Arabidopsis thaliana: one gene and its partner. The protein of the gene in region 1 purifies or fractionates together with the protein of each later gene. This does not show direct contact. Each region holds a gene or a part of one and is shown in the gene's direction. Other genes may lie near its edges.

What was found.
Region 2: the proteins of AT5G08180 (region 1) and SCL30A fractionate together in Arabidopsis thaliana (co-fractionation; one large-scale study listed by BioGRID). This does not show direct contact.

The regions. Positions count from the first base shown.
Region 1 is NC_003076.8:2,630,982-2,635,439, reverse strand, and holds AT5G08180 (Ribosomal protein L7Ae/L30e/S12e/Gadd45 family protein), read left to right. Parts: upstream 1-1,589; 5' UTR 1,590-1,761; exon of another isoform or gene 1,762-2,004; 5' UTR 2,005-2,065; coding exon 2,066-2,198; intron 2,199-2,306; coding exon 2,307-2,376; intron 2,377-2,516; exon of another isoform or gene 2,517-2,670; intron 2,671-2,774; exon of another isoform or gene 2,775-2,916; intron 2,917-3,023; exon of another isoform or gene 3,024-3,140; intron 3,141-3,237; coding exon 3,238-3,343; intron 3,344-3,435; coding exon 3,436-3,597; 3' UTR 3,598-3,924; downstream 3,925-4,458. Other genes in the region: EMB1873 (porphyromonas-type peptidyl-arginine deiminase family protein), read left to right, coding at 4,393-4,458. UniProt on the Arabidopsis thaliana protein: Required for ribosome biogenesis. Part of a complex which catalyzes pseudouridylation of rRNA. This involves the isomerization of uridine such that the ribose is subsequently attached to C5, instead of the normal N1.
Region 2 is NC_003074.8:4,428,725-4,434,117, reverse strand, and holds SCL30A (SC35-like splicing factor 30A), read left to right. Parts: upstream 1-1,958; 5' UTR 1,959-2,119; intron 2,120-2,496; 5' UTR 2,497-2,515; coding exon 2,516-2,661; intron 2,662-2,995; coding exon 2,996-3,073; intron 3,074-3,798; coding exon 3,799-3,966; intron 3,967-4,055; coding exon 4,056-4,187; intron 4,188-4,289; coding exon 4,290-4,554; 3' UTR 4,555-4,862; downstream 4,863-5,393. Other genes in the region: AT3G13580 (Ribosomal protein L30/L7 family protein), read right to left, coding at 1-43, 130-309. UniProt on the Arabidopsis thaliana protein: Involved in intron recognition and spliceosome assembly. Binds probably to multiple 5'-GAAG-3' repeats found in its third intron, suggesting autoregulation of alternative splicing. May be necessary for accurate splicing of the 3' region of introns.

The DNA.
Region 1 (4,458 bases):
AGAAGAAAAAACCAGATCTATAAAGTTTGTTATTAAAAGATAGAGAGAGAGGAGGGATGTAGTAGGCCAATAGGCAAATCAGAGAATCACAAATGGTATCTGGTCAAGAAGATTCCTGGTTAAAACTTTCATCTCTCTGTTTCCTTTTTCTTTCTTTGTTGGATTCATTAATTTGACATATCTCTATCATCACACTGATTCTCTTTCTCCCAGTTTGTCTGCAGATGCATGTGTGTAATCTAGGGTATATGTTTTTGTCCATTTGGTTTCATAAGGCAATAAAGATCCAGCTATTTACTACTTGTGGTATAGATTTTGACTGTTGAATTTTCAGATCTGATGTGTTTCGTTTGATCCGATTCGGAAAATTTATGTTTCGTTGACATTTTGGAGTTTAGTTGGAAGAAGAGTGAGAGTCGCTGGAGGCAGCGGTTCATCGATCTCTTCCTGTGAACACATTAAAAATGTAAAAGCATGAATAGATCGATAAACCTCTGCATCCAGCGTTTGCCTCTTGTATCTTTCTTATTGACTTGAATCTTTTTGTTTATTGGTTTTTGAAAGAAGAAAAAAGTGAGGGAAAACAGAGTCAAGTCCGATTACTTTTCTGGGAAAGCTGAGGATTTTGTGTTCTTAGAGAGCAGATGAAGAGGTGACTGTTGTTTCTGGTGAGAATTCGACCTCTTTAGTTTGTTTGTTTTTTCAGTTAATGAAGTGCTTGTTATTGAAGTGTGTAGTTGACTGATAAGCGCCTTAGCTTTATCTTAATGTTTATCAAGTAGATTTGGCGTTGGATAATTAAAAAGAAGTTCAGATTCTTGTAGGTTGCTTACTTCGTCTGACCAAACAATGTTCCTGAAAAAGTGTTGTGTTTTGTTTCATGTATCAAAAAGTCTAGCTTCAAAATTTTCTTGCTTTTTTCCAACATGCAAGATTTCTCTTTATAAATCGGTACATTTGTAGGTACAAATCGGTACAAATTTGCCATTGTATAAATCGGTACAAATTTTCCTGTGTTCTTGTAACAATGCCCTTTATACATTTGTAGGTGAGATAGAAGTTGGCATCTAAATTTGCTTTCTCTGGACCAGTGAAATCAATTGCAGTCTCCTATATATTGTAGTAGGCGATGTATCAGTGGTGAAGCGAGGATGACATCTGTGGGTACTTGTTCTTAATCCTTCACTCTGATATCTATGCTTTAGAAGCGTTTCAAGTTCATGAAGCTGATTTGATGTTGAGTTTTTAACAACAAGAATCAATTCACTCCAAAAATATGTAAACTCTGCCATGCCTTGAGCTGCTTTTTGGATTATCCACTGTTTTGTTTTGTGATTAAGTTCATTATTTTCTACTATATATGATGAAACCGAAAATTGTTAATTGCTAACGCAAACACTGATCTCCATCCCCATGATATTCCTACGTACTTATTGACCCGACAATGACATTCAAGCTCCAAACATCAATCTTCACTTATGGCTTTTTGTTAGTTGTTTGTACATTTCCTCAAGCAAGTTAGAAACACGTTTTGGTAATAGAATCATACTGTTTTTTGGTAATATATATAGATAATGGATGTCATGGATAAAGCAAAATCACTTGGTGAAGTTTTTAAAAAAGTCTTTTCATCTGAGCATCCGATAAAAAACCTCATACTAATCGTTGGAATTTATTTGCGAGAATGTGGTTAAATAACATTCACCAGCTACAGTAACTAACATTATCTTAAGGAAAATTTGATTTTTTTTTTTTTTTTTGGTCGGATTTGATTTTTTTGATTTTCAAGCTAAACAACATACAATATCTCAAAGTCAAAAGTCAATGAATGTAGCAAATCTTAGTCTGTATGAAGGCCCAAATAATTGGGCCATTATATGCAACCAGTTTACCTCATTAACAAGCCCATATGAAATTAGGGTTCCTATATTTTACTGGTCAATAATACACTTCTCTATAAAAACCCTAACACTTCTGGTCATATAACAACCGCCTAAACCCTAGTTTTTTCCGCCACACTCTTCCGCCATTATTTTTGTTACTTGGAGCTAGCTAGCTAAAAAATATGGGAAGCGATACCGAAGCAGAGAAGTCGATTCAAAAGGAGAAGAAGAAGTACGCTATTACTCTTGCTCCTATCGCTAAACCTCTCGCCGGCAAAAAACTCCAGAAGAGAACTTTCAAACTCATTCAAAAAGGTACCAATCTCAGTTCCAAGCTCGCTTCACATCTCTCTATCTTCTTTATTTCTCATTATATATTGATTAGTAGCTCATGTTGGTGTATTGCTCTGTAATTTTTGTCAGCTGCTGGGAAGAAATGTTTGAAGAGAGGAGTTAAAGAAGTGGTTAAGAGCATAAGACGAGGCCAGAAAGGGTTAGTTTTTTCATTCTTTGTCTTTTTATTGAGTGTGATTTATGATTGTTTTGTGTTGCAGATGGCTTAGCTGATGTATATGTGTTGATGTTTTGTGTTATTAATTGATTAGTTGATGTTATTGTCCTGCAAATTGCTTAGTTAGTTTTGAAATCCGTGTACAAATAAGCCGATGCTCTGGATTAAAGTAATGAATGTAGCATGGTACTGTACACGGAAACTGAACTATGGATCGACATGTCTGCCATCTCTGATTTTTTCCCTGATTAGACGGCCTGGTTTAGATCCACATTCTCTGTTTGTGTTGTGATTATGTTTGTGAAAACGGTAACATGTTCTTCTATGATCATTCATGATGTTATCTACTAGTGTAAGCTCTTTATTTAGCTGATTTTGAAAGCCGTCTACAATTAAGCCGATGCTCTGGATTAAAATAGAATGAAGGAAGCATGGTACTGTGCACGGAAACTAAACTATAGATCGACATGTCTGCCATCTCTGATTTTTCGTGATGAGACGGCCTGGTTTAGATCTACATTCTCTGCTTTTTGTTACTTATTATGTTTGTTTTCATTGATGTTATGATAGTTGTTTGCATAGTTGATGTTATATCCGTGTACAATTAAGCCGATGCTCTGGATTAAACAGAATGATTGTAGCATGGTACTGTGCACGGAAACTGAATCATGGGTTTCAAATGTCTGTGCCTGCTCTGAGTTCCTTATTGGTTCTTTGATTTGCGGGCCTGATTTGAACCCACATTTTTACATTTCTAATTGTTTTTTCCTTCTTCTACGCAAACAGTAAATTCTTTTATGTTTTGAATGTTGTATCTGATGTGATACGTTTGTGTTTGTGCAGATTATGTGTAATAGCTGGAAACATTTCACCTATTGATGTTATTACTCATCTTCCAATCTTGTGTGAGGAGGCTGGTGTTCCTTATGTATACGTTCCTTCAAAAGAAGTAAGCCAATTTTCTTTCTTGATTTCTATCATCTTACCAATTAATCGGTTTTGTGGTGCTAAGATATTCAATATTTTTTTTATGAAATTCAGGATCTTGCGCAAGCAGGGGCAACGAAACGACCAACATGTTGTGTCTTGGTAATGCTTAAACCTGCGAAAGGAGATTTAACTGCAGAAGAACTTGCAAAGTTAAAGACAGACTACGAACAAGTCTCTGACGATATTAAGGAGCTAGCAACTTCTGTAATCTGATTAGAAACTAGAATGGGTGTTCCTCTTGTGCTTTTGATGGTTAATGAATATCATCATATTTACGGCATCGGATATTACTTTGGACTATTTAAGGTTTTTGATATTGTAGCGCTAATCGATTGTAAAAGTTTGAATCATGAATCCTATGGTTTCATCTGGTTAGTGCTCTCTTTATGGCGTTTTTTTAAATCTCCTCCTTACGTGTTTAGTCATTGTCTCCTTACGTGGTCAGTACTTAGTCATGTCTTCGTGCTATCGATTGGTTATTACATCATTATTTATTATACAGACTAATTTAGTTTTTGTTAATAATCAACATTAAGTTATACACAACTTTTATTTGGCATAGCTATATATCTTTTTGAATTGTTATGTTAGAAGTTTGTTGAAATGAAAGATTACGGTTGAAATGACAATAAAAACAAGAAAAGAAAAAGAAAAATATCAAAACAACTTTTGTCGTGTTTGGGTCACTAGATTGGGTTTAGGATTCCGATTCTGCTCGCCTCTGGATTCTGATTCCGCTCACCACTAATAGTGGGGTCGTGCCCGGTCGTGTAATGAGCATAAGTTTCAGTCGAATAGTTAAAAAGATGGGGTCCAACTGTAAGAAAATATATTCTATACGGGTCTCTTAAGAAAACTGAGAAATTGTTTCGGAATCTTTTTGTGTACCTTTCTTTTTTTTTCTCTTCTTGGTCAGAAAAAGAAGTATTAGGAATCAATAACGCATACGGTATACACATCAGTTTAAAGCTTACATCTGACTTCTCTCTCACAAAAACATCGTGAAGAATGGAGGAGTCACGAGAATCGCCGGCGGAACACGGCTACTACATGCCGGCGGAATGGGATTCTCAT
Region 2 (5,393 bases), on another chromosome or scaffold:
CTTTCAATTTTGCCTCACGCTTCAGCTGGATTAATTCCCTTTCCTGAAGAAAACAAGTAGCAGAAACGCTCAATGAATTTGCATTTCTCACATTAGAAAAAATTGCAAACTAAGCTTGTAGAAAAATACTTTCTCCTGGTACTCCTTGGAGTACTGTTTAGCCCGGTTAAATATGAGTTTCCTCTTCTCAGCATTCTGCTTTTTGGCAGCCTCAAGCTCCTGTTTCTTGGCAAGTGCCCATTCTTCCTCCCTCTTTCTCTTCTTCAACACTGACTCAGGAACAACAGTCTTGGACTCTGCTTCAGTCATTTCTGTAAATTACATAGCCAAAGAACAAAATTGGAATACTCAATCGTTTAACTACACTTTTCCTGAAGAGAGAAACTGAAAAACAAACAAAATTAGATGCTACTGCTAATAAAATCAAAGCAAGAATTCCAGCTTCTTAGATAATGCAAGTGAAAACATATATAAAAATGTAACAAGTGAAATGGAATTGTGTTACACGAGTGAAACATAACCTTTCACCAAAATGATACAAAAGGTTTTAGGCTCCAAAAATCAATACTTTCAGGCAATTACTAGCATAATCCTCGTGTCTGTTGTCATACATATCAGAAAAAATCTTTTAAAAAACCTAGGAAATGGTCCACAAGTCATAGATCCAATTACATTCTATCACACAGGTTATGCACCTTAAAGACTCTTAATTTTTGTAAAGTAATCCAATTGCTAGATCACATGCGTTGTTTAGAGAGCTTTCTCAGGATTCCACCTTCTTCTGAACCAATAGCTAGATTTGTTTAGGCCAAATAAAGCCGAACCACTACCAAAACACACATAGCTTTCCTAAACCTGACCAATGCAATCGCGCAGCTCGAAACACGATTGATTTCTGCAACGATGTATGTTGAGAGGGCGAAGAGAAAGAAGAAGACTAACCGGCGATCACGGACGTCGGCGGTAGGATAGAGTGGAGGCGGGGCCGTTAACGAAGTGAAAAAGAGGGAGCGAAGCAAAAAAAAAAATCATTTTATAGTATGAGAAATTTTTGGACTAGGGCTTCGTTATGTTTTTATGATTTCGCTTTTACCCTATTAGAGTTGCGATATTTTTTGTTTTGACTCAGATAATTCGGCTTTACAAACAGACCCTTGGTTTATATTTTCTACTCTCTTCACATGTTTTTTAACTTTCAAAAACTTTTCTTATCAACTTTTTTGTTTCTTAAATTCAAAGATGAATGAACCACTCGACTAAAATAGTTTAACAGTTTTTTAGTTTATTTTCTTTCAAATTGGTATCTTAGATATATCATTCAATTTGACCATATATTTAAATCGTTGATATGAACTTTACTATTATTTCTCTTTGAAAAAAAAGAAAAATGTATGGCTAATGTCTCTTGAATGCCAAGAACACATTTTGTTAGTAACAAAGTGATTGGAATAAAACTAAATCGATTAATTTATTATTATGCATTTTGATTGGAGAAGTTGTCGAAACACACATACGGAAAACATAAAATTGTAAGAGTAACAAGTGATTTCAAATTTTAGTGTAGAATACATAACAAAAAAAGTTAGATATTTTCATTTTTTAATCAACCAAACATAATTTCAATGATAAACGATCAAAATAAACCGGCTTAATATAAGATATATCCTCATATTCTATCACAAGAGTTAGATTGAACCAATACTTAAATTCCTCTAAATTACTCTCATAAGAACAAGATTCAAACTTTACAATTAAGTTAAGAAATTAACTACATTTAATGGATCTGTTGATTTTAAAAAAAAAAACTACATTAACTGGGTCTACATGTAATATAAGAAAGTATGGTGCGTAAAACTAAACGTTTGGAAGGAATTTGGGGCAAAAGTTGACAAAGGGAAAAACGAAAGGATTTGTAGACAATACATAAGAAAGGAAATAAAATAAAAAATTGCAGAAAAAACCCTAATGACCCGTTCGCTTCAGACCATAAGATCCAAAACCATAAAACTAGGTTTCACACTTTCTCTCTAAACACTGTCTCTTTTCTCCGATACATATCCCGCCGCTTCCCCTGTGTTTTTCTTCGCCGTCCGTCGTTCTTTTCAACTCCTTAGCTGCGGTAAGTCTCTTGATGCTTAATCTGTTCTCCTTTCTTCTTCTTCGTCGTCTTATCTTATCGGCAGTGGTTAATTAAGGTCTATTGAATTGATCTCAAATTTGTATTCTTGTTTAGGATCGATCTTTCTTGTTGTTACTTGAGATGTTCTCCGATAGCTTAGTTCTTAGTTTGAAACTCATTATTAGCTAGATGTATATCCACATTCAGTAATTGTTTTATGGCTTGGAATTTGTAGAATTCAAATTTGGTTTTATACTTTTTTGAAGTCTTCTCTAGATGTGTGTAAGCTTCTGCGGTGGTTCTTCTATTTCTTAATCATTCAATCATATCTAGCACATTCTCTGACTCAATTTCTGTTGGTTACTTGATTGATATAGATATTAAAGTCTAGACACAATGAGAGGAAGGAGCTACACGCCATCACCACCAAGGGGTTATGGAAGGAGGGGCCGGAGCCCTAGCCCTCGGGGCCGGTTTGGTGGGAGTCGTGACAGTGATCTCCCAACCAGTCTCTTGGTTCGCAACTTACGTCATGATTGCAGGTATATTCTTTACTACTGCATGTGTATACTACTCTTTTCTCTCTTACACAAAATTATATATTTCTTTTCAATGATTTTGTTTCCTTGTAAGTTTTCGTGAGTCCATTACTTGTTTAGCCTTGTCTAAAAGGCTTTCCTAAAGCTGATGTATGACTCATCATCAAAGATTGGTTTGGTGGATTTTTTTGTGTGGCAAAAACTGATTTAGAAGCATGTAAAACGTATATTTCATTATTTTTAGATAGCGCATGCATAAACTTGTGTATCCATATTACTAGAAAATCACAGTTGTTTACAATTGGTTGACTCTGTTTTCTCTTGACCTTTTCTCCAGGCAAGAAGACCTCAGGAGGCCATTTGAGCAGTTTGGTCCCGTCAAGGACATCTACCTTCCTAGGGATTACTATACTGGGTGAGGATGCTCTGTAGATAAGACATTGAATGTTTATACATCCAGGGCATAATTTTACATTACTTCAATTAGACTATGTCTCTTTCTTATTGTTTTCTTTTGCTTCGTAAACCACCTTTTGTGAATCCTACATTCCATCGTATGCAGCTCATGAATTTGTTAGATTTATAAGAATTTTCTGAAAGGTCTATGTCAAACATGTCCGGTTTTATATCCAATCTTCCCAAAATCACATTTGGAGCCTTGAAACGTTTGTTTTATCTACACTTAGGTTTTCAGCTTAAGTCTAGTACACCTAAAACTTCGCCCTCTTCGAGTCACTTTAGGGAAAGAATACAGTGATATGTTCCATGTTCGGTCACACTTCGAGTCTGTTTATTAAAGTTGTTGAGGTTTAACAGTGAATCTAGAGAGTTGAAGAGACCAATGAAGTAATTAGAGTTCTTTGGAAGATGTTCTAAATGGTAGTGAAGGTTGGAAGGAAGTTGGGTTTGAATTCAATTTGAAGAGATATCAAGTCTTGGAGAAGTCATCTTTATACTGAAACTTGCAAGGTTTGCAGGCAAGTGCTTGCTTTTTCATGTTTATAACGATGGCTTCTATTGCAGGAGATTGTAATGCCAACTTTTTCTACAGGCTTCTCGTCAAAGCTGTACATCTTTCTTGCTTATTGTGTTTTTGGTTCTAGGCTGAGATTTTTTGTTTGTTTGTTGGATTTGTTGCAGAGATCCAAGGGGGTTTGGATTCATTCAGTTTATGGATCCTGCTGATGCTGCTGAGGCTAAACATCAAATGGATGGTTATCTTCTTCTTGGTCGTGAGTTGACTGTCGTATTTGCTGAAGAAAACCGGAAGAAGCCAACTGAGATGAGAACAAGGGATCGAGGTGGAAGGTGAATTGACATTCTTCCTAGAAAAAAGCATTAGTTTGTCTATACAATGAGATGACTTGATCTCAACTTGTATCTTTTCATGTTTGTAGGAGCAACAGATTCCAGGACAGAAGACGTTCTCCTCCTCGGTACTCTCGGTCTCCTCCTCCTCGCCGTGGTCGTAGATCACGATCACGTAGCCGCGGCTATAATTCTCCTCCCGCTAAAAGACATCAATCTAGGTAACTAGCTCTGCATGCCTGTGAAATTCATACTGACAGATATTCTTACAGTTAACTGATGGATTAAACCACCCTCTACTCTCCAACTCTGTCTTATGGCAGGTCTGTCTCACCTCAGGATAGACGATATGAGAAGGAGAGGTCATACTCTCGCTCACCACCCCATAATGGCTCAAGGGTTCGCAGTGGAAGTCCTGGGAGAGTGAAGAGCCACAGCAGAAGCCCAAGAAGAAGCGTGAGCCCAAGAAAAAACAGGAGCTACACGCCAGAACAAGCAAGGAGCCAAAGCCCTGTCCCTAGGCAGAGCAGGAGCCCGACCCCAGTCCCTCGTGGAGCACAAAATGGAGACCGTTCTCCAAGCCAGTGATTTATGATTACACCATATATCTCTCTACTCTTCAGTTTTTCAGTCTTGTTCTGTTTGATCAGATATTTTGTTTGCCTCAGATTGATATTTCCCTACTTAGACAGATATTTGTAGTGCTATTGGTATTTTGCTTTATGTTTGATCCATGGATGATCTTGAGACAGTATTTTGAATTAGCATGTGTTATTTGTCATCTTATCTTTTTAGATCTCATCTAACATTGTTATGGTGAAAAAGATGGTCCTATTATGGGAGCTTTTTGACGTAAGGCTCCTTTTGTTTTGAATCGGCATTTGAACACTTTCCAGCTATTTTCTTCTGCTTTCTTTTTCCAAAAAGCATCTAAGAAAAAAAAAACTTTGTTTCTTTCTTTCAAACAAAATGCCAAGATTAACGGTTTCTTACTTTTTAGTTTTTTCTCTTAACATTGGAAGTTTTATTCCAAAATCCAAACCCTGAGACAAGTCAAGTTATTAATTACAAGTGGTCATATGGTATATGAGTGTTACTAACGATTCTGTTCTTTTAGCCAGAAATTTTTTCTTCTGTTGACTTGTCTGAGTCTCTCGATCCGACAAAAGTCTTGGTCGTCGCAGGTTTTTGAATTTTCAGTTTTCCCGTAGAGCACTTAAGCTTGGATCGAAATGCACGGCGATAATGTCGATAATCAATTCTTTCTTCGTTTTGGAGAAATTTGGAAACAATTGTTTGCTATTTTAATGATCCCATAAAATAAATATATACGAAAACTTAATTAGGCAATTCTAAAAGACTATCAATTTCCGAATAATGGTGAATATATATATTTCTGAATCATTTTTAACGGTGATGAAAGAAAC